Linked DNA regions of Notamacropus eugenii. The protein of the gene in region 1 purifies or fractionates together with the protein of each later gene. This does not show direct contact. Links are inferred from orthologs where the notes say so. Each region holds a gene or a part of one and is shown on either strand. Other genes may lie near its edges. The genes, in order: ITPR1 and ERLIN2.

Region 1 (12,470 bases):
TCCATTTTACATATGAAGAAACTGAGGCAGATTGAGATTCAGTGACTCGTCCAGGATCACACAGCTAGTAAGTGTCTGAGGTAGGAGTTAGTCTTAGGTGCCCTTGACTCCCAGTTCAACCTACTATCCACTCTAGCTGCTTTTGTACCCCTTGTGCCTCACATGTATGTTGCATGTAGACTTTTAATAGACGCTTGTTGAACTGAGTAAAGAAAAATGAAAGCAAAGACTCTGTGACTTATCAAGGGAGATAAGGTTATTGCTGATCAGAAAAGATCAGAGATGGATTCTTACTTATAGAAGGTGAAATCTGAGAGGTTTTTAGAGATAGGAAGGAATTTAACAAATGCAAAGGTGAAAGGAAAACATTCCAGGCATAGGGATCTGCATGATCAGAGGCACAGAAACAGGAAAGGGTAGGGCATGTTCAGGGCACAGGGAGTGGTTCAGTTTGGCTGGAGTGCAGACTTTGTAGAAGTATAACATGTGAGATAAGGCTGAAAAGGCAAAGATTGAGACAGATTATGGAGGGTCTTCAAGGCCTAGCAAAGGAGTTGCCTCTTTACTTGGTAGCCAGCCACTGGAGATTTTTGATCAGAAGAGTGACATGAACGTAACTACACATGAGAAAGATGAGTTTGGCTGCTGTAAAAGATGGATTGTCAGAGCTAGAGAGAAGAGATGGGAAAAACTGTCAGGAGGCTATCTCCATGGTCCAAACAAGTAATAAGGACTTGTATTAGGGTGGTGGGAGTGGGAATGGAGAATAGGAAGCATTGCCAGCGTAGAATCAAGAGGGCTTCCTAGAATCTTTCAGAATCCCTCCTTTCATTTAGTGGTCTGCTTAAGCACACTTTTCTCACTGAGAGCCTCTTCCCCCCACCCCCCATATAACTTTAGTGCCCTCACCAATGACTTATATTGACTTTGTACATACTTAAATATGTATATGGTGATTCAATTAATCTAGCAAACAATAGATATTTTACGTGCCTGTTATATTCCTGGCACAGTGCTAGACAAATCCGAACAATAAAACCATAGCTCCTCTCTCTCCCATTCTCAAGGATCTGCCTTTAACCAGGGACACACACACATATAATAGATATTTGTAGTCATATTATACATCTACATTATATGTATGTTATATATATTAAAGCTTAAACTCACACTAAGACTTTTGGAACACTCATCTATATATCCCTATCATCTATCTATCAATTGATTAGTCATCTGTCATATATACAGAGAATAAACTCAAGGTAGTTGGGAAAGGAAGGCTCTAGCACTTTAGAAGATTAGGGGAAACTATAAAAGTTGTTGTTTGAGAAGAGTATTGAAGGACAAGAGAGATTCTATGGATTGGAGGTAAAGCCATGGAGACAGGAGATAAAGTTCACTTCCCTAGGAAATCCTCCTTGATCTCCACCTTTAGGTCTTGCAGAGAAGTGGATGATCTGGGTGCCTTCCATGTCTGACCAAGCTTGAAGTGCTCCACAGAACTGCTTCAGCTGCCTTCATGACCCTTGAACAAATTGTTCTCATCTGCCTATCATACTTGGGAAAGTCTTCACATGCTTGGGGTAGACATCCACCTAAACACACCAATGTGTTTGAAGCCTACCAGTTACCTTGTTTAGCCCGTCTGCTGAGATGGTTTTTACCAGGATATGGTCCTGGAGTCACATGTGAGAATTGGGTGAAGGTGGACAGTAAAAGTAGATGAGCAGTCCTGAAAACAGCTCGGCAAGCCCACATTCCAGAAGTGCTAGTCCTCTATTAAAAAAAAATTCAGCAACAACAAAGAGGCAGGAATAAGCATGACTTCAATATTATTGATACCATGACTACTACCTAACATTTATGACTCCTGAAGGTTTTCTATGTACATTATTGCTCTACTCTGTGAGACAGGTACTATTTCTATCCCTATTTAAAGGTGAGGAAACTTAGGCTCAGGTATTTAAGTGACTTGTTCAGGGTGAAACGACCAGTGAAATCAAAGACTGTTTAAACCTGGGTCTTCCTGACTCAGAGTGAGTCCCAAGATGAGACAAGATTGGATTATGGAGGATCTTGAAAGGCAGACAGAAGAGTTTGTATTTGATCCAGTGGACAATAGGAAATCACTGTCGACTTTTAACCAAGGTGGTGATTAATGCAGATTTGACATACTGTAGTTTTATCCCTTCTTTGTATAATCCACATTGATCATTCATTCAGAGCTTCTTATAAATAAGCCTACCATAACTTCTGGAGCAATGACCAGAACCTGAATTGCCACCAGAACCTGAATTGCCATCGTAAACACTCTATTCCTATAAACAAATCCACATGGTACAGCTCTGTTGGTTGTTTTTATATAGCTATCTTGAGGTTGCTAGGTAGAGCAGTGGATAGAGGGCTGGGCATGTTCAAATCCAGCCTCAGAAACTTACTAATTGTGTGATGGTGGGCCAGTTACTGAACCTTTGTGTACCTCAGTTTCTTCATCTGTAAAAGGGAGATGATAACGGTATCTATTTCCTAAGGTTGTTGTGAGGAATAAATAGGATAGTATTTCTCAGTCTACTGCCAGTTGTCTTGATTTTTGTCTTTCCACTGAACTTTGATGACTCTAGAAGAGAGAGTGAGGCGGATGACTTTGTGCAAGTCGGCTTCACTTGAATCCAATTCATGCACAAGTCAAGGCAACGTCCCACAATGTCACTGGTCCTCTTTGGAAAGGAAGGACAAACAATAACATCTCAGAGTGCTCTGATTTCACCTTCTTATATTCAATTCAGCAAAGAAATACCAAGGAAATTACAGGTCCCTATCCCCTATACATAAATGTAAGGATATATGTTGTATATCTCTATATATGTAGATATAAGTAAGTATATATGTGTTTATGTATGTATGCATACATACACACACATATGTTATCTCCCTCTATAGAATGTATCATTTTGTATTTTATAGAGGGAGAAACTACGGTCCAGGGAGAAAAAGTTCTTGCCAAGATCATGCAGACAATAAATACCATATGTGACAGGTGTACTGCATACACTAGTAGAAAGGAAATTTAAGGACAAACTGGTATATCGTAGGTGCTTAATAAATGCTTATTGATCATAACCAGTGTGATATGTTTATTGAAGAAAAAGAATTAGTCAAAGACAGCACGTTTTCAAGCAGAGATCCGATGCAGCTAACCATGAAAATAGCAAAGGCACTGAAGATTTGTGTAGCCTTGGGCAAGTTGTTTGACCTCTCTGGGCCTCACTTGTGTCATCTGTAAATTAAGGGGATTACTCTAGATGGCCTGCGGGGTCCTTTTCAACTCTAAATGTCTGAGCCTATGTTCTGTTCTGTAGAATGATTTGACATTATAATTGAGCTGAGTTCCTGGCCTCAGGTAAACAGTATGGCACAGTGAAAAGATCTTGGGTCTCTAGAGTCAAAAGACCTGGATCCAGACTCTACCTCTGATATTCACTATTTGTATTACCTTGGGCAAGTCATTTCACTTCTCTTTCCTATTCTGCAAAATGTGGGGGTTGAGCTAGATCACTTTTGAGTTTGCTTCCATCTCGATCTGTAATCAAGCCCATTATTAGAAGGAAAAGAAAATTTAAAGGGAAAGATTAGCTTGACTTTGAACATGTTATATTTGAGGTGGTTATTACTCATCTAGGAAAAGATGTGCTCAATAGGCAGTTAGAGCATACAGTTCTGGCTAGGGATCAAGGTCTGGGCCAGGTCTGCATCTGTACCCTGTCTCTTGGGTAGCACATTTGATTTTGAGTTGCTGTGGAACATCCAGGTAAAGCTGAGCCACCAGTCATTGGAAATGTGGGTCTGGAGTTCATCACTGGGGTCAGGCTAGGAACCATCTGCATAGGAATCAGAGTGAGGCCCTAGGAATGAATAAGATTGCCAACAGAGAGAGTAGAGGGAGAAAAGGGAAGAGGATCAAAGATGGAGCCTTGGGGGAACAATGATCTTAAAAAGTAAAGGAATTAGCAAAGCGGGGAGAAAGAGCCCAGTCAGATGAATGAGAGGTCTTTGAAACCCAGAAGTAGGTGTTAGCTGCAGTCAGATGCTACAAAGGAGGTCAAGGAAGATGAGGGCCTTTGGCAAAAACTAAAACTTCCTTCTCTTCACAGATTAGGGATGGGCAAAACACTCTCACTCTGATTATATCAGAACGATCTTGGTAGATAAATTTTTTTGGTAGCTGTCAGACTCCAGGGTTAGTGATGTCAAACTGGGCCAATCACTTTTAGGTTGTGACTTGAAAGGTACCAACTGACCCCTTTCTCCCACCCCTGAAATTTCTTCTATCATTCTGCCACTTGCCTGAAATTCTGGCCATTAGAGTAATTTGTTTGGGTTAATGTTTCTCCCCCAAACCCTTACTAAAATGCCTGGAAAGGATGATGCATAAAACTCTTATTGTGGCCTACCATTGCCACCTTTAAAAATAGAGAAGCAGGACCTTAGGTGATGAGACAAGCAAATTCTCACCTGGTGAAGTGATACTAGGGAAGAGAAAGATGAGATATATTTAAGCTCTGGGGACTGCCAAGGAGGGGAAGTATCTAATATAATAATGTGCATGTGATAAGTGTTTAATAAATTTTTGTTGAATTGATTTGGGCTGCAGAGGAGAAGGGATCTAGGTAGGACTGGGGGTGGAAAAGGAGTCTGGTAGCTTGGGGGGGAGCATAGAAGCACCGGGAACTAGGGGGAAAGTTGAAAGAGTGAAGGTAGTTTCAAAAGGAAGGAGGGAATGAAAACAAAAAAGGAAAGGAACATGACAAACTTTGTGGACTTTATAGTTTTTTCTACGATAAAGTGGGCTAGCAGGTGCTTTTTACAAAAATGATGAATGAAGTGTACAGTCAGTCAGTGATGCTGCTTCTCCTTCCCCCGGTCTTCTACTTGTATTTGCAGTGATGTTAAAATCATAGAGGAGCTAGATGGCTACGTGGATAGAGTACTGGGCTTGGAAACAGGAACACTTGAATTCAAATACAGCTTCACACACTTATTAGCTGCGTGATCTTAGGCAAATCACTTAACTTCTATTTGCCTTAATCTACTGGGAAGAAAATGACACATAAGCATCTTTTTCAAGAAAAACCCATAGAGGGTATGGTCCATGGGGTCATGAAGTGTCAAACAGATGCCTAAAACCAACGTGAATTCCATTGAAGCCCTATAACGATGCAATATGGGTAGATTTCTGTTGTTTTTCCTTTGGTTAATCTAAGGTAGTGAGAAAATGACTTGACCAAGCCAACAAACTGATTTAACCTGGAGTGATTTACCAGGTGTCCAAGGCTCAATATAGTGTCCTCCGATGGCATTTAAAGCCTTCCAGAACTCCTCTGACATTTTACAAACTGGTTCCCATTTACCTGTCCAGTCTTACTCTTTATTATTCCCCATGATGCTCCATCATGCCACCAAATTGTCCTTCCTTCTGTCCTTCAGACATGGCACTGTCCTCCCTCTATTCTTGTACTGACTATTTCCCATGTCTGGGATGTACTACCATCCATGGCTTCTTAAAATTTCACTTCTTTCAAAGCTCAGTTCAAGGGCCACCTTTAACAAGAGGCTTTTCTCAATACCCCCTCCCCACGCCACCCCCCCCCAAGTTAATGCCTTAATGCCTCACTCCAAATTGTCTTGCTTTCTATTTACTGCACCGTATGTCCCAAAAGTCTTAGTTCAGCTTTAAACTTTAATAGCTTGGATATGCACTAAGACTTTTGGGACACGGTATTATGTACCTGTATATGTATTGCCTTCGCCATAGAATGGAAGCTCCTTGAGGACAAGGGCTATTTCATTTTTGTCCTTGAATCCCCAGCGTCTAGCGCAGAGCCACGCACATGATAGGAACGTAATAGATTCTTGTTGGTTGACTGATTGGCAGAGGGCACCTTTCGTGGGTGCTATCACCCTGGGGCAGAATGGCCTGCTTTGAAAACAAAACAAATGTGTGTTTTAACAGTTATCAATGCTGAAAGCGAACCCGCAAGCCGCTAGTTTATAGCCCCCTGCTTAGAAGCTTTGGAGGGGGGCAGGAAGTAAGAGGAGGAATGAAGATTAGTCCTCTGGCTCCAAGCTCCTGCCCTCCAGTCTGCTGCTTTGTCAGAGACTTAAAACGACGCTTCGAGTTTAGGTGCTTTCAGGGCTGCATGTCGCCCTCGATGGTTCTGATTTTGTTTGGAATGCTAGTGTTCGCGCTCGTGCGTGTATTCGCTTCCAAATCTCTTCATTAACAAATCGTAACGTTCATTGGTTAGCCCCGGATAATCAAGTTTTCATACCGCCCGCCCCTAGGTAGAAGAGTCCCCAAGGACTCGCCAGTGTGTGCCCGGTGCCCCATGTGCGCCCCTTCCGCGAGGTCCGTCCCGTGTAGACCCCCTCGGATGACCCCCTCAGCCTCCCATGCAAGTCCCATCGCTGACATGCCACTCCAGGGCTGGGGTTTGGGAGTTAAAGGCAACCTTGGGTCTTCATCCTTCAGTCGGAGCTGGCATCCAGCAGTCACTAAGCCCTGGGGATACAGAGAAAAGCAAGACTGACCCCCGCCCCAAACCAACCAACCAACCCAACCAACCCCTCGTTCTCTTTTCCAGGGGAGCGCGCCTTCTAACGGGGGAGCGACTGCACTGGCATTTTTGTGCGTTGGGTGGATTTTTGAAGTTCTTGGCCAGGGTGTATTGGCCCAAACTGGAGTTGACAGCCCATTAAAATGAAACAAAGCAAAAACTTCCCAAAATATAAGTCTAATCCCGGCCCAGAGGCTGCCTAAGAGGCTATCCTTCGAGGGTCTGGGGTGGGGAGGGGCCCGGGAGATTGGAGGCACGCCGCCTCGGACCTTAAGGCTCCCAGCCCAGCCTGCCAGGGCAGGGTCGGGAAACTGTCTGGTTCCTAGAAGACCACACAAAACGACCCTCCCTCGGACCCCGACAAGCCAGAAAGCTCCCACTGCTCTCGCTTCCCCAGAACTCTCCGTTCCCCAGATGCCCCAAAGCCAGGGAGACTATTTGGAACCTCAGCCCGGGAAACCCGAGGCATTCTGGGAATTGTAGTTTTGTTTCACCGCCGGAGGCGCCTGCGAGACCCTTGACTTGGACTACATTGCCCAGGGAGCCACGAGGGGTATATAAGCCGCGGCGAAGCGGAGCCCAAGTGCAGTAACCATGTGGATGTTCTGCTGAACCGTTTCCTGCAACTCACAGGGGTGGGAGGAGGAGGAGGAGGAGGTGGTGGTGGAGGTGGCGGAGGAGAAGAAGAAGAAGGAGGGGGAGGAGGAGAAGCAGCGGCCGGAGGAGGAGCAGAGGGGAGGTGGACGGAGCGAGAGAAAGGCGAGGCACCCGACGGCACGGCACGGGACGGGACGGGACGAGACGCAGGAGGGTGGCGAGCCCGCGTCCATCCTAACGGGACCGAGCTCCAGCTGCGGGGACATGGAATGACAAAGTAGCTGCTAACGCTCTCCGAGCCCGGCTCCCGAAGCGAAGCGGGCACCTCTCCTGGGGGCGACGAGGTACGGTCTCGGGCCGGGGGACAGCGGCCAGCGTGCAGGGAAGTGGCCGAGGGAGACGGAGCAGAACTTTTCTGCTCCGCCCTCCCCGGCGCTCGGGGCTCCGCAGGGTTCGGGGCTGCTGGCACACAGCTGGAGTGCCCTTGTCAGCGATCTGCCCCCCTACCCCCTTGGCATATAGGTCCCCCCTCCGCTAGCCAGAACAACTGGAGGGTTCGGTCCCGCTCCCTCTCCCAGCCCCAAGTTAGGAGCTAGGAACCAGTGGCAGGAAATAGGTCCGGGGGTGAGAGTGTGGAGGGGGCAAGGCAATGCGCGAGTGTATCTCCTTGAGGAAACAATCTTGGGAAAAAAATCCTCCGGCTGCACGCTTTGGGAAAACCCAGGTCTGTGGGGTGCCCGTGGTGCCCGGGTTGGGGGGCTGGGAAAGGTGAAAACGGGGGCCCGAACACATGAGGTTTGGGAACGTAGCCTGTTTGTGTTTGGGAAGCCGGCGGAGGATGCCCAGCATCGCAAAGGATGCCATCCCCTTCTCCTGCAGCAAACAAGTGCTTGGGGATCTGCTCACACTTTTCCCCCTGAACTGTTTGAATATTGCGGAGATGCGAGACCTAGAGTGTTATCTGTCGCCTTTATGGAGTGCGTGCCTGGAACAGAGAAATTCCCTTCAGGTTTTAGATCTGGGCTGAAGCGGAATCGTGGAGGGTCGGAGCAATCAAGTTTGTCGGAGGTCACCTGAGCTAAGAGATCTTTCTTGGTGTCGTCTTGAACAGACACCGCAAGAACTGACATTCTGTGGCCCTTGTAATGAGTCATTTTTCTTCCTTTTTTTTTTTTCTTAACTCAGGCGCCGACCCAGTGGAGCAGGAGCCGCACCACCCCAGGTTGGGTGTTCTGTAGATACTGCTGGCTTACTGTGACAGGTGAGTGCAATTAGTAATGAGCTTTGCTTCCTAACTGCCCCCTGGCCCTTAAAGCTGTTAGAAATGGGATGAAGGAGGAGAAAAGACTGTGGGGCTTAGGCTGGTATTGACTGTTCACCTTGCTGACAGTTGTGTGGAGCACACTCATGGCATGGGGTAGTTGAGTTGCCTTAGGGAATCAATCACTACTCCAGCACCCAGAGTCACAATTGCAGTGGGCAAATCAAAGATCTGTAAGAAGGTAGAAGGCATTAAATGGAGGAAGAAAAGAAAATCTGACTTGTTAGGTGGTGTGCATGTGATTTAAATTTTCAAAGTTATACTGTGTTTCATCTGCCAAACATATAAGCAAAATTAACTGCCTCAAAAATAACTTTCTACCAAGTGAATATGTGCTTGTCAGTTTAGGATTGGATGGGAAGAAAGGATTGTCTTTGGGTAAATGAAATAATCACAGCTGATTGGGTTTGTTTATTTATATTGTAAAACTATGTCAAATCTAGACATGAAGGGGAAAATATCAGCACTCAGCAGATGGCCTGAAGCCAAGCACATGTCAAAGGATTCAATAAGTTAATGCTGTTGTAGTGCCTGCTGTGGGATGTGAGTTGGGGCCAGGGTTTCTGCTATAAACACAGGCCCGCCAGCTTTTCCAGATTGGCTTGAGATGCGTTAGTGGAGGGAGGCTCATACTGTGTACATACATCCATACAACTGTAAGCTTGCCCATCTGAAGTTTTCTTCTTAAATGGTCAAAAAACAGGGCCACAGGGGGTGGATGGGTCTTGGTAACTCATGTAACAGTCTAAATATTTAGCTGTTCCCTGGGCTACAGTCTTTGGGTTTTTCTAATTTGAAAAGAAAAAAAAAATCAGACACTTCATTAAAGAGGTGTAGCGCTTTTGTTTCCTGTTGATAAAATTCTCCAGAGTGCTAAAGGAGTGGGAAGCATTTGTAATCTATTCATCTGTATTTGTGGAGAGACTGGGCCCATTAATTCATGTGGTGCTAATGAGGTTAAAGCTGGGAGTTCCATCCCCTTCCTGACCAGTTAGCTCTGTACTGAGCAGAGCAGCTTCATAGCCACGGATTGGCCCTCCCTCTAGGACCACAATGCTTCTCAGATGCCTGTTTTTGGGTCAGAGATAAGGACATGCCAACAAATTCTCTCTATCATATGCTCCATATCCTACCTGTTTATAAGAGCCATATATTTTTGGTTTCTTCAGGGACTAGAATTTTCTGGGATGGTTTCTTGCTTTCTGAAATCAAAGGAAGTTGCTTGGGGTTGTGACAAAGAATGCTGGATGGAGAATTACAAGGGCTCAGGTTCCCCAGATCCTGGTTCTGCTTCTTATTTGTTGCCTATGTAGGTAAATCTCATAGGCTCTCTATACTTCCATATCCTCATCTGTAAACAGGGATAGGGGCTTCACTAATGACCCCTGAAGCTTCTTCTTCTTCTATGCCTGTGTGATCCTGTGATCCTATGCAGATTGAGTGTAACATTATTATCAGAAAACCTGGGAGAATTTCAAAATTTGTCACCTAGAGGATGGATCACTAGGGCCTGCTTGGTCTGTCCAGGTTGCAATCTCAAGAAGAGATGCGTGATTTGGGAAGAAAGCACTGGGCTTGTTAGGAAGCAGTATGGGTCTTTTACTATGAAGTTTTGGATTTAAAAGTCTGAGAATATAATAACTGGTTTCAGCTTAATTCTTTGAACCACTTTCAAAGTGAGATACCATCTTCTGCTAAGTGTTTGCAGGCAAAAGCAAGTGATCATCATAATAAATGGCTAATATCCTATAGTGCTTTAAAGTTTGCAGAATGCTTCCCATGAGACTAGAACATATCATCATTTATTCGTTCATTTTGCAAATACTGTGAGTTCCAGTTCTAACTCACCGTAGGACCTTGACAAATTCGAGTCCCTTTTGTTGGCTTGATTGTCTTTGAAATAAAAGATCTGGACTAGATGGTCTCTCAGGATTCTTCCAACTGATGAAACAGTCTTATCATTCTGATTTATGTGCAAGGCATTGCTTTAGACTCCAGGGAAGATCCCAAAATAATAAGGTATGACTTTAGTCCTTAGGGGACTTATTTAGTATAGTGTAAATGAAAGAAATAGCAGGAAACATTGGATAAAATGAATTTACAGCTTAAGTTGCAGAAGTAATTTTGGTGTCTTTTCGCATAACCTTCGAGCTTACTTTGTTGCCTATTGTACATTTTTTCCCCTGTCTTGGAAGTACAGGCTGCCCTTTGGCTAATCCAACGCAGAGCTGAAAGGCCTCTCAAGGTTTTCTTTCCTTTATCAGCCATGGAAGGTTCTGCATGTTCCAAATGGAATATCTGTCCTTAGTGATTTTTCTTTACAAGCCCTTTTAACAAAACTCTGGTAGAAGCCTATCATCCTGTAGCACTGAGATGAATTATGTTGGCCTCTATGTTGGATCTCATGCAATATGTTTGAAACATGACAAGACAAGACATCATCTACATTGGTATTCTGTTTTTAAAGAGGATAACCCTCTTTGTTCTTTAAGAACCTAAACAGAGGCATCATGTAGTAGAAAAAATAAATGAATTAATAGAATAAAAAAAAGATGAAAATATGTAGGATAGATTTGGAAACGGTTGCCTTATTTAAAGGGAGGAGAACAAAGCTAAAGAAAAAAGTCAGTAAACAAAATTATCCACTTTCAGAGAATTGTTGAGAAAGTATTATCAGATGACTTTCTAGGCTCCATAGGAAATCTGTTTGTGATTTTTTTTAAATGGGCAGCTTATGAAGAAACCAGAGTACAGACAGCAGAAAAATAAAATTTAAATTTGGCTTGGATTTCTTTTTCTGAGTCAATCTGCCCTGGGATAGACCTGGTTTAAGCAGAGTCTACACACGGCAAATGTTTTGCCTTATTTGCTGTTGGTTTGATTTTGTTCAAAACAAACACACACATGTACACATACACTCACACTTCCTGCATTCATAGGCCATCTCTGTTAGATGTGTGATATTAGTTATCGTCCTGTATTCCATGTTGCTGACTTGCTGTCCCTAAAGAGCAGAGCTCAGGATTAGCCGCTTGTCCTGACTAATATTAGTGCATGGACATAAGCATCGTTGTTGTTTTCGGAAAGTGGACAGTGTCTTAGAGGCTGACTTTTGAGAACTAATGAAGGGAATTGAATGCTGGCTTACCATGGCAGTCTGCAGTCTTTAGCAATAGTAGAACAAAATCCTGGAGGACAAGAACTATTTGAGATTTTTCTGAGCTTCCATCCCCAGCATTTAACATGGTCCTATTGGCACTTTTGTCTTTCGTCCCAAGCTGTGATTTCATTAGTGTATGGAAATCCCTGTGTGCCATCTCCCTCCCCTGAGGCAGGTGGGCACCTCTTCTGTAGCTTTAGACACTTTAGAGAGTTGTGTGGAGGTTCTCAAGGTGTCTTGTCAATGGCTACACAAATAATGTCTCGGGATTTGAATCTAGGTTTACCTGGATCCAAGGCTGAACCCTTGCCCACTCTGACATTCTGCCTCTTGTTTTGCACATAGTTTTCCCCAGACTAACAAAGGGGTCAACGGCATACAAAAAATTAGAAAGGAACCCCCAGACTGAGTGTGAGAGCCAAGCTACTACACAAACTGTTTGCCCTCCCCACAGGAGGCCAACATATCACAATCCCTCCAGCCCATACACTGGGCCTAGATCGGTTTGGCTAAAGGAACAGCCATGAGAAATGGGGTTTAAGGTGAAGACATTCTTGCTGACTTGTAGAATTGAGCTCTGTTGTCTCTTTTATTTGACATTTTCCAAACTCTTGCATGTTTTCTCATTGTGACTAAAAATGTCGCTGAACTGTGTGACCATTTCAAAGGTATGAGTTTTATTTTCAGAAACCTGGATTTCATAAAGTTGGACTCCATTTCTAAGTTTTTAGCTGTATGCTTCCTTATCAGTCTGTCAGCATCTGCCATGTATGACGAC
Region 2 (12,383 bases), on another chromosome or scaffold:
TAGAAGAAAGATGAGGTTTGTTCTGCTTGTCCCTGGAAGTCTGAACTAGGAGAAATGAGTAAAAATTGCAGGGAGGTAGATTTATACTTGATATAAGGAAGTGTAACATAAATAGAACAAGCTGCAGCAGGAGATAATGAGCTCTCCATCACTGGAGGGCTTCAAGTAAAGACTCAACCACCACTTGCTCGAGATGTTATATGGGAGATTCCTTGTCAAGCACAGGTAAGACTTGAAGGAAAAGTCCCTTCAAACTCTGAGGTTCTAAAAATCAACAGATTATATTAAAGGATTTTAAAGAGGAAGCAAGGTCTAAAGGAATCCAGAAGCAGATCTTGGAGGTGGGGGTAACTATTCAAGTATTTTGTCGTTCAGTTGTTTCAGACTCTTCATGACTCCATTTGGGGTTTTCTTAGCAAAGATACTGGAGTATTTTGCCATTTCCTTCTCATTTTTCAGATGGGGAAACTGAGGCAAAAAGGGTTAAGTGACTTGCTCAGAGTCACACAGCTAGTTAAGTCTGAGGCCAGATTTGAATTCGGGAACATGAGTCTTCCTAACTTTAAACCAGACACTCTATCCACCGCCCTACCTAGCTGCCCATTCAAGCAGGCATTCAAGCATACCCTCACCCTTCATTTTCTTTCAATTTGATTCTCAAAAGAGTTTGTGATTGCACAGATCAGATGCAGGCAGACACTTGTGTTTGTTTCCCTAATCACGTAGGGCACTGGGACAGCTAGATGGTACAGTGACCTGGAGTCAAGAAGACACATCTCCCTAAGTTCAAACCTGGCCTCAGATACTTACTAGCTGTATGTCCCTGAACAAATCATTTCATCTTGTTCACCTCAGTTTCCTCATCTGTAAAATGAGTTGGAGAAGGAAATAGCAAGCCACTCTAGTATTTTTGCCAAGAAAACCTCAAATGAGGTCACGAAGAGTTGGATGTGACTGAAAAACAATTGAACACTAATCATATAGAGAATCTGAAGATGAGAAGATCACCGTGACTAGAGAGAACAGTAAATGCAGATGAGATCAAAACCAATTTTTCATGGACTGGAGAGCAGATTTTTTTTTCTCTTCTGGATACTTCCTGCAAGGTTGCATTAAGATTTCCTTCCCTCCCAACCCATCAGCATTCCATCCACTCTTCAATTCTTCCCACCATATGGACAACTGCGAGCAAAGGGGGCACCATGTGAATACCACCTGCAGGGCTGATTCAGAAATTCCTGGCTGAGTTTCCCCTGCCCTTCCTCTCTTCATCACTTACAAAAATGAGACAAAAGTAGATCCTTTCTTTCAAGGAGGTACCCCAGCTCCAAAAGGCTCGAGCAACTACATGAAAATGGAAGGGCTATGAATTCTCCTCTCCTTTCGATCTGTGGCTTACTCAGGAGCCCACTACCTACCTTTTCTGGTCTCTTAACTACATACTTAACTATAAAGTAGAGAGACAGGCACCAACTAAATAGGGTCACAGTTTGGGGTCACTGCAATTAAACTCATTGGTGAAGCCCTTTGTATCTGTACACACTACCACAGACATGATCAGCTACAATAATAGAGAAAATAAGGCTAATCACAGTGCAGGGCACTGTGAAAGAAGGCACTAAGAAAGGATTTGAAGATGAGGGTCAGCTAAAGTTGTGGATGCTACTCACCCCAAAACAGGTATGTTACCAGTATTGTAAGGTGGTTGTATTAGCCTTGTGTGTTACCTAAACAGGAATTATTATTATATCCTCCATGATACATATCAGCCAAGTAACCTTGGGGAAGTGATAACCTCTCTGAACCTTCATTTCTCGTCTATAAAATAGGGATAATGATAGGCAGTTGTGAAGGAAGCACTTCATTCATTCTAAAATGTTATAGAAATATGAGTTGTTGTTGTTGCTACACCCTATATTACCTTCCCCATGGCTTGATACTATGATTTCATGGATACCCAGAAAAGAACTCTTCTCACCCACCCAAAATCACCCACCTACCTACCTACAGACCCTGAAATTCTACCACTGAGAATGAAACTTAAACAGATGGAATTCTTTGGCTTAAATTCATACTCTCAGGTAAGTGACTGATATTCAGTCCTTTCCCTAGAGTAATTCTGATATGGCATTTCTCTTTCCAGAAAGCAGGAAAGGGTAATCTATAGCTAAAAAGCAAAAAAAGGAGAGAAGTGAATAGGGAATGGGTGTAGAAAGGAAAGGAAAAGAAAGGAAACTAAAAATAAACTGCCTGCTTCGAAATTCTGTCATGGGCAGGACCTAGCAAAGGAATCTAGAAGTGTAAAAGTCTGAGGTTGCTCTTTGAATTGCCTCCTGCTTGGGGAAATAGGTAGGAAAAGAAGGGTAGGAGATCATTTAAGGAGCAGTCATAATGTCACAGAATTGGAAAAGAGCTTAGAGAATATCTTATCCAACCTTTCACATCTTACAAATAAGGACAGGTAGCAAGTAGAAGTCACTACATAAACCCAGGTATTTTCTGACTCCAAACCAGTGCTCTGGACACTGATGAAGGTAGCCTTACACTGTAGCCCTACACCATAGCTCTCTGATCTTGAGAACAGGAAAATGGGTGGGATGTGAATCAGACGAAATGAGATCCAAACAATATATCTGGGGGGGAAGGGAAAGGACTCACTCCAAGTTTTCCAGCTAATCTAGCTATTCAATTCAACAACTAATTATTAGAATCATAAGATTTAAAACTGGAAGGAGGGCCCTTTGAGATCTTCAATTCAGGATTTTTCTTTTACAGATGAGGAAACTGAGGCCCAGAAAGGTGATTTAGAGTTTATGTGTCAGGGCACTGTGAGCTACTCACTGGGGAAGAAAACGATGGAAAATGACAAGAGTCTGGCTCCCGAGAAGCTCCTGATCTGGCAGGGAGACCAGACCTCTCACCCCCAAAGTGGCCAGATCGATGCCTCAAGGAAACTGCAGTTCCCACTTCTCAGCTCTGCCCCTACAAAGTTCTTCTCTTTACTGCCAAGCTCTAGGCCACCCAGGCTGGGTACGCCACCCCCACCCCCTGCCCCCATCACTCTTGGGCACATGGAGGAGGGGTGGCCCAGGGGAACAGGACAACAACACAAAAAGCCACACGAACCGCATATACCCATGGAGGTAGCTCTAAACGTTAGCGCCTGGGCAGGAGAAGGGGGTGGGGGTGGTGGAAAGGGATGAGGTTTTTCCAGCGCCATTCGAAACTGTCAGGCGAGTGATTAATGACCAACAGGTTTGGAATCGCCTTTATTGCCAGATCAGTATTGTTGCCCGTGACAGCTAATGAGGTTGGACAGGCTTCTCCACAGTGAGCTTTATGGGCCCCCGCTCCCTCCCCTGCAGAGCTCACGAGCCCTGCCAGCTTTTGTGCACAAGAATGCTGGAGCCCCCCAACCCCCAACTGACGACCCAAGGCCACCTCCCCAGCGCCACAGGCTGCAGTTGCCCAAGGCAGTGGCACCTGGGAACAAAGGCCCAGAGCAAAGGTCTCCTTGCCCTGGGCCACCTCACCCAACATGAAGGCATTGCCCCAGTCAGGGGCCAGGGAACTTGACTAGGAGGCCAGGCCTGGTGGGAGGGAGAGGGGACTGGGAGATGTATACAAAAACTGTGAGAAGAGCAAGACCGAAGGGAACCCCCTTTTCCTTGGATTTAAAAGCGACGAAAGGCTCCTGGACTCCTCTTCTGGCCAGTCTGACCGACTACAGGCAATCTGCCTTAATGAGCCCATTCCAAAGCGAACCAGTAAAAGTCAAAGAGGATTTTTATACACTCACCGCTTCAATCAAGCAGTTGGGGGCGGAGAGAGAGTGGAGAAAAGGGTAGGAAAGAGGGAAGGTAGTACTTCAGAATAAAGGGAGGTGGGAGGGAATTTAGGGAAGAGGAGGGGCTAATAAAAGTTAATATATAATAACAATAATAATCTTTTCCTTTAAAAAAATAAACAAAAACAAACCCCTCTGCCTTCAGCAGTGTTAAACCATGTCCAGAAGGTTTCTGTACAGAAACACAGTCTGGCTCCGGTGGAAAACTTTGCAAAGCACAGGCTTTGTTTTCCCGGCTCTAACAAATAATATTTACCTTTGTGCAGTTTCACATCTTTATATGGTTAAGCACGTGTTTGCCCGTGGTTTAATATTTGAAGGAACCAGAGCAACGTAATAAGCAAACGACTCAGAAAAGCCCCAGAAAAACCCCACTGCTTAAAAATCTATTACTTTTCAATGTGATATAAATGTATTTTGCTTCTGCTCAGAGCAATTTCCTAGTTTACTCTTATTAAACTGGGAGACGGCTTCCCGGCGTTCCTTGATTTATGAAACACATACTAGATTCATTAAAACCTTAAAAGATTTAATACATTTTATCAGGACATTAAATCTGTGCCGGCTTTTTAAATCAAATACCTGCCATATTTCATCTCCCACACCCTGCACACTTATTTAAGAACAGTAAAATGTGGCCTGACAAACATTATGGCTGTTTCGGGCCTGATTTTTTTAAGTGGCATGAAAGTCCTTCTCAGTTGGATTTACAACAAGGTCCCCTCCCTAAATCTGTCCTTCCAGAGAATAAGCGATTCCCTTCTTTGTGAGCCAATCCATTAGGATGAGTTCATGGTCCCCAAACTTTTTCTTTCAAACAGAGCAAAGAGGTATTTAGATCAACTCCTTCATTTTTCAGACAAGGAAACTGAGGTGGAGGAGGGTGCATGGTTTGCCTCAGGCCACACAGCTAATTACAGTCAGAGCCTCCACTCAAAACCAACTTTCCTGACTTTCAGCCCAATGTTCTTTATATTATACCATACTACACATCTTTCCATGAAATAGAAACAAAATCACCTAGCCCCAGCAGGAGATGAAATAAAAAGTCTTCTCTTTCTGAGGTTTCTAACAACTTTATTTCTGCAGACCCAAGCACCAGATTACAATGTATAAAGAATGAGTAAGAATTATGGTGGCTTTGAACCATGGCCTATTGTGGGCATTTCTGATTTAGCCACTTTATGATATGACTCTCAGGATTATAGGCTCTCAATCACAGATTTGGAGTTGGAAGGGACCTCAGTGGTCATCCAATCTAATCCCCTCTTTTTACAGATGAGAAACCAATTCCCATAAAGGTTAAGTGACCTGTATAAGGACATATAGTCAGTAAGCAGCAAAATCAGAATTTGAACTCAGATCCTCAGACTCTGAACCCGGCATTCTTTCTACTGTACCATGTTAAAATCTAGAAATCACTGAGCTTTCTGTGGTGGAATAAGAAGAGATATTTCACAATCACCACTCTCAACTTCCTAAACAAATGATCCTGTTTTCTGTGAAACTGCTCCTTCCAAGATTACCAACAACTGTCTTCCTTGCCTAAAGCCAGTGACCTTCTACCAGCCTTCATCAGGTGGTGAAATGAATAGAGCGCTGAGCCTGAAGTCAAGAAGACTCATCTTCCTGAGTTCAAATCTGACCTCAAACACTAGCTGTGTGACCCTGAGCAAGTCATTTAACCCTATTTGCTCAGTTTCTTCCTCTATAAATGAGCTGGAGAAGGAAATGGCAAACCACTCCAGCCTATTTGCCAAGAAAACCCTAAATTGGGCCATGAAGAGTTGTGTCCAACTTGACAACAACAAAAAAATTCTTCTTCTCTTCAGCTCTTAGGCTTTGTAGGATACCCTCCTTTAATTTTGTAGAACTGCTATTTCCTCCTACTTGTCTTACTGCTTCTTCTCAGTCTTCTCTGCCTGATCATGGGTCTCTGATTTCTACCCCCAGGATAAATGGGAGTTTCCCCTATGACTGACCTAAGTTCCTTCCTCATTCCTTCTAGGCACCCTCTTTCTAGGCATCCACAGGCATAGCATTTATTTCCATTTTTCTTCTCCTCTCCAATTTTGTATCTTGGACCTAACAAAATACTTACAAAAACCGAAGATGTAAGACCCTTCTTTCCCTTTGCAGACACTTTGCCACAACTGAGAATGAAGGAAGTGATGGGACACTGTTCTCCTCAGACTACACCTGGCATGCTGCATTGAGTTCTGAACTCATAAGGACGCAGTAGAAAGGAAACTGTCAGGCTAAAGAACCAGAGAAAGGGAGCTGAACAGAGAACAGACGGATGGGAAGATGTCACATGGGAATCTGTTCAAGTAACTGAGGATGCTGAGCCTAGAGAATATTTAGGGGAGGCATTATATCTATACAACTGTCATGTGGAAGAGAGATTAAACCAGTTTTGCTAGGCTCCAGGGGAAAGAACTAGGCATAATGAGTAGATAGATGATAGATAAATAGATAGATAGATGGATGGAGATAGCAGACATAGATACATGGGTAAACAATAAATACATAGAGTATTTATTAAATGCTAAGCATAGAGATATAAATAAGAGCATGCTAGACAGTCTCTGCCCTCAAGGGTCTTCCATTCTAATGGGGAATGAAATCTATAAAAGAGATCTGCACAAGGACAGAGTGTAGAAGGGGAATACATTTGTCATGGAGGTATCTGGGAATGCCATAAAGACCTAGAATTGAGCAAAACGAGGCCAATGTTGACCAAAAGCCAAAGAAGGTTCCAAGGGGAAAGAGCCCAGTTTTCCAGCAAGAAAAGAGTGGAAATGATGGCCAGAGTGAAGACTTGCAATGGCCAGAGATAACTGCAGAGAGGCAGACTTAAACTCCACAGAAGGAACAGCCCCTTCTTAATCATTAGAGCGGTCCAATGGTACAAGAAGCTACCCTGATGCCCATCATTGGAGATCTTTAAGTGGAGGCTAGAAGATCATTTGTTGAAAACAGCAGGATATGGCGCAAAGTGCACTAAACTAGAAGTAAGGAAAGACCTACACTTGAAATCCATCTCTGACACTAGCTAAGTGACCCTTGGCAAGTCACTTGTTTCTGTCTGCCTCAGTTCCCTGAACAGTAAATGAGGATAATAGTAGCACCTCCTTCCCAAGGTTGTGAAGCTTGAATGACTTCATGTTGTGAAGCCTTAGCACTTAGCACAGTGACCGCACATCATAGGCACTTAAGGCTCAGTCCTTTCCTTTCTACTTTCCCATCTATCCTTGGCCACTCTTGACTCTTCCTAACACCAAGGCCAACCTCTATGTGTTGTGTCCTACCACCTCAGTCATCTCTGGAGAGAAGAAAGCTGAGTCTCGGAGAAGTGACGTGACCCGTCTAAGCTCTGGCCAGGCCTCGCCCGCCCCCCTTCCAGACCCTCTTTCTCTCTAACACGAAAGGGTCCCGTGATTTCCCTCTTAAAGACATGAGCCCAGCTTCCCTGTCTGTGAAATGGGGAGACTTGATCCCTGCATCCTGGGCCAGGGCAGGAGGGCAAGACCGACATCCTCCTCCTTCCCCCTCACCCCCATCTTCACGACTTTCTATTCCCCCGTCTGCCCACCCCACAGGACTCCATCCATCCATTCGCTGCCCAGGCCCTCCCGGGGGTCGGTGGGACCGAGGGATGGGCGCCCCCTTGTGGCCGATCGGGCCGGGTGAACGCGGCCGGCTGCAGAGGCGCGGTGGGGGCGGGGCAGGGAAGGAAGGCTCAGGGAGAGAGGGAGACACAGGAATTCTGCCCCCCGCGCCTCCTGATGACGTGTCACGGCGGCGACGGACCCGGAAGGAGGAAACGTGCTGTGCTGAGCGGAGTGGCAGCGGCTCCCCGGGGAGGGAGCTCGGACAGGTACTGAGCGCCAGGAGGGACAGCCTTAGACGCCGCCCCGTCCCGCTCCCCCAACTCTCTCCCCTCCTGGGGCCTCCCCCGCCCCCCGCCCCCCCGCTCGGGCTCCCACCCTCCGGGGCGGGGGTCTGCAAGCCCACCGCCTTCTCCCGACTCCTGCCACCTCTGGGCCTCAGTTTCCTCGTCTGTCCGCGGAGGGGGAGGGGGGCCGGACTCAAGGATCCCCAAAGCCCCTTCCGCGCCTGACCCTCGGTCACTCGCTGCCCCAGGGCGCCGTCTGCCCCCCGACGTTGCTTGGCCCGCCCCGCCCTGGACGGACGTGAGGCCCGAGGACCACGCCAACGACCTGGGCAGCTTTGGTGTTGTGAGGGATAAGGCCCAGCCTCGGACTGACCGTCAGAAGCCGCCCATTTCCGAGATGACCAAGCTGAGGCCCGGGGAGGTGCCGTGGCCCAGAGGCGGTCCGGAGCAGCGGACTGGGCGCCAAAGCGGGGTGATAGCGAGCGCCCCCTCCCAGGGCTGTGGTGAGGGTAGCTAGAGGGCAGCCGAATGGCCCGGTGGGCAGAGTGCCCGGCCTGGGGGCAGGAAGACTCCCCAGCCGGGGACCCCGGGGCAAGCCCGTAACCCTGCTTTCCTCTTCAGTAAAGTGAGAAGGGGAAGGAAATGGCAAGCGCTTCAGGATCTTTGCTAAGAAAACCCGCCCTGGGGCCACGGAGGAGCCGGACACGACTGAAGAAGCGGCTCAAAGTCAGCTAGGCAAAAATGCCAGCTAGTGTAGCGTTCTTTGCCAGCTTTAAAGCGCTGTGTTAGTGCTAGGGAAGGAGGAGTGCACTGCAAGTCTTAGAGCGCTGTATAAATAAATGCTAGCTAGTGCAAAGTTCTTCACCACATCAAAGCACCATTTAAATGCTACCTAATGTTAAACTGAAGAGCCAACGTTCAAACCTGCATCTGCTGGCTCCAAATCCAGAATACTTTACACCTCAACCACATGCCTCCTGGACCCCAAAGTGGGACTTGATCAAGCCCCACCTTATCCATAGCACTCTTTGACCTCTCTGTTGCACCAGCTTTTGATCCAGTCTGGTGGCATATAGGGACTGTTGAATCCAGAGACCTCAATCTTGGCTTTTTTGCAAGTGTAAGCTAATGCTTTGAGGATACCTGCTATCTATTTCTTTTCCCATTCTCCTGCCCACCTTCTGTTGAAGGAGAAGAAGGTAAAATTCGCTGATAGGGATTCAACTAACCAGCTACTGACTAATATTTCCAAACTGTATTCCTTCAGCCCTTACCAGTATAGTTACAGCGACTTTGTTTACCAAATGAAAAATCATTACACATGGTTGGACAAAAGGTATTTTTTTCTTCAAGGCCTCTTTCCTGATTGGAAAACTGAACAGAAGTGGAAAATCTAAGAAGTGGCTGCCACAGCAGTAGTATGTGCACCCTCTCAAAAAGAACTTATTTTGTTCCAACAGTCCCATGACATGAAAAATGGTCTTGGCAGTAAATCTTGGGTGCTAAGGGCCCATAAGAGTTAAAAGTTGACCCTTATTATTCAAAGGTCATTGCCAAAAAAATAAATGCAGTAATAACTTCTCTAAAGCTTTCTGATGTCTAAGCTCAGCTGGATATTCATGGCCAGACTCTAGACTTCTGAGCCCTTTTTGCTTGTCTCAACAGATATCCTTGGGGAATAATCAGCTATAAAGTGTTATTCAAGTACCGTGTATAAGGCAGTGCTGTGTGTTCAGTCGTTTTCCCAAGTGACAAGTCCCTACCCTACTAAGGGCCAAATGAATAATGGGGGAAAGGAGAGAGGAGGAGGCACTCTAGAAAATCCTGCCCTGGAACCCTGCTGTGCGTATACTGTCTATCACCCTAGCATGTGAAAAGAGTAAATAACAGTTTCCTTTGAAATACCCTGCAGTTAGCATTGGGTGGCTCTGGCTGGAATTACATAGCCATAGTCTCCTGTTCGTTTGACATCCTGTATAATTTGGTCAGTCAGCACTTGCAGCTGGCCTGTTCCCCCTTGACAAATATATGTCCCTTCAGACTGTGCCATTGGAAGATCAGTTAGTTGAGAGCCTGAGGGTGTTTAGCCAAAGGAGAAATGTAGGAAGGACAGGATCACAGTTTTCCAGTTTTTCAAGGACTGTCAATAGGAATTGGGATTATACTTATTTTGCTTGGTCCCAGAAAGCACAACTGGATACCTTGGGCAGAAGCTGCGGGACAGCAAGTTTCAGCTCAATACAAGAAACAGCTTTCTGACAATTATAACTATGCCAAAAGTGGGATGGGCTACTTTGGGAAGGAGAGCCTTCTCAATCACTACAAGCCTTCAAATGGAGCCTGAATGATGACTTGTTATTGTGGTAGGAGAAGTGATGCCTCTAAAAATCCTCTCTAACTCATGAGATCCTAGGTTGTTTAGTGTCTCCAGGGCTCTCAAGAAGAGAAAGATGAATCTGAATTCTATCCTATGCTCTCCCTTGGATTATAGGACTTTTTAGGAGATAGAAATGTTGTTCAAGAGTTTTCCTTCTACTGATCCTTAAGGGACAATCTTTGGGGCCACGTAAGACAAGATCCTGGGTAAAGAGCAACAGAATTAGAGGCAGTCTAATACCCATAAAGACTCTGGAGAGGTTTTGTAGTAAGATGGTTAGTTGTTATCCTTCGTTCTTGAAGAGGACCAAAATGACATCACCATGATAAAGTGAAGTTTCAACGTGTACAACTGGCTGATCACACCGATATGAGCTCAGAGTGCCCTACCACAGATTGAGCACAGATAGTCCACATGAACATTTGCGGTGGTTGCTCCAAATTTGCACATCCTGCGTTTCCTTTGTGCCATTTCAGTTCTGCTTTGCTCAGAGAGCGTAGCACCTTTTCTGATGTGGGCATGCTATGTGGAATGGTCCTGTGCCAGTGTCTCTTATGTCGCACAATCAAATCCAGAGTTCTTGAGAGTGTCCTTGTATTGTTTCTTCTGAACACCATGTGATCACCTACCCCATGCAAGTTCTCCATAAAATAGTCTTTTTGGCAAGCATACATTTTGCATTTGAGCAACATGGCCAGCCCATCAGAGTTGTACTCTGAAGCAGAGTTTGAATGCTTGTCAGGCATTCAAACTCTGCTTCAGAGAGTGAGGATGTTATACTATAGATGAAATGACAGTTTGGATCCCACGAGATCCAGTCAGTGAGGCTGAAGACTCAAGTCGAGCAATTCAGGGGTCTGGCTATTCTGGCAAGAATAAAAGCCTCAGTCCTGGGATCATGTGATTTCTCATGCTCAGAGAATCTGCATTTGCACTGATGACTCCAAAAGACAAATTCAGATGCAAAATATATAGAGAAGAGAACAAGCCCTTGCAAAGAGGTATCTTTGCCTTCTTGAATTTGCTCAGAGATCCTCCCTAGGGTACCTTGCATTTAACAAATTCTAATATATGATGTTTCTCCTTATTTTTGATGACATGTACTTCCTTGATTTTTTCTATTAGAATTTGCTGTGCTGTCCCCCCCAAAAAAATCAGGTGAAAGTAGTTGCAAATATAGTTTTATGTTCCACTGGCATTAGGACAGGAACAAATCTGAGGAGTCAGCTATGCATGATGCAAGGTATGCATGTTGGTGAAATAGTGTTGTAGCTTTTCTCCTGAGTCCTAACCATCACGTGTTTCCCTGTACCCTTTTCTCTAGAGTAAAAGCTTCCCAATGGCGCAAGTAGGGGCAGTGGTGGCTGTGGCGACTAGTTTCTTCTGTGCAGCCCTCTTCTCCGCTGTGCACAAGATTGAAGAAGGGCACATTGGGGTGTACTACAGGTAAGAGGAAGGGGCAGGGCTGCAGAGACTTCCAGCTCTCTGAGATTCAGGATGGTTCTTTGCTTTCCTGCAGCCAGTGCTCAGTTCTGGTTTTGTTGGTTTCGTTTGCCTGGGGGACAGGAGCATTCTATTACACTGCTGCTGTATAGTAACAACTACTGATAGATCTGTTTATATGTGCAGGGTGTCCCAGAAATCTCAATGCAGTTTGGAGCTTTAATAGCTTAAAACTGTGCTAAAACTGGGATACTCTGTCTAGCCACATTCAGGTGACACTACTGATGGCAGGTGACAATATTAGTCATAGTAACAGCTCACTGCCAAACAAAGGAATTTCCTTACGATATATACCTTGTGGAGTGGGTAGCTCGAGGGAATAGCATTCCCATTTTGCAGATGAAGTAGCTAAGGATCAGAGAATTTGCCCAGCGTCACATGGCTGTAATTGGAACCCAGACCTTTTCTCTCAATCTATGCTGGTTCAGAGGCAAAATGAAAAGGTTTGAGAATGGTTCTGGAAGTCAGTTTTCTGTTCATTTGGCTTAAAAGGCTTCTTGCTTGCTCCTAAAGAAGTCAACTTAGATACCTGCCCTTGATGACAACAGGAAAGGGCAGTGTTACCTCCTTGTCTAATTAAAACACCAATGACTTTGGGGCCCTTCTTAAAAATTGTACCCAGTGGAGGAGAAGGAGGTTTCTGAGAGATTTCTGTTGGAATAAATAAGCCACCCAATTATCTTCACTTTTAGCACTGTTATCCAAAAGATTTAATCTTTGAGTCTACCTCATCATGGTGGGGAGATGACTCTGGATTC

Evidence for each region.
Region 2: the proteins of ITPR1 (region 1) and ERLIN2 purify together in Homo sapiens (affinity purification with western blotting, with the first as the bait; 4 studies listed by BioGRID). This does not show direct contact. The link is inferred for Notamacropus eugenii from reciprocal best matches to the Homo sapiens genes ITPR1 and ERLIN2.

Annotation. Positions count from the first base shown.
Region 1 is NC_092874.1:441,489,374-441,501,843, reverse strand, and holds the start of ITPR1 (inositol 1,4,5-trisphosphate-gated calcium channel ITPR1), read left to right. Parts: upstream 1-7,375; 5' UTR 7,376-7,555; intron 7,556-8,396; 5' UTR 8,397-8,472; intron 8,473-12,470. UniProt on the Homo sapiens protein: Inositol 1,4,5-trisphosphate-gated calcium channel that, upon inositol 1,4,5-trisphosphate binding, mediates calcium release from the endoplasmic reticulum (ER).
Region 2 is NC_092872.1:623,276,812-623,289,194, reverse strand, and holds the start of ERLIN2 (erlin-2), read left to right. Parts: upstream 1-7,605; 5' UTR 7,606-7,727; intron 7,728-8,982; exon of another isoform or gene 8,983-11,123; intron 11,124-11,446; 5' UTR 11,447-11,461; coding exon 11,462-11,568; intron 11,569-12,383. UniProt on the Homo sapiens protein: Component of the ERLIN1/ERLIN2 complex which mediates the endoplasmic reticulum-associated degradation (ERAD) of inositol 1,4,5-trisphosphate receptors (IP3Rs) such as ITPR1.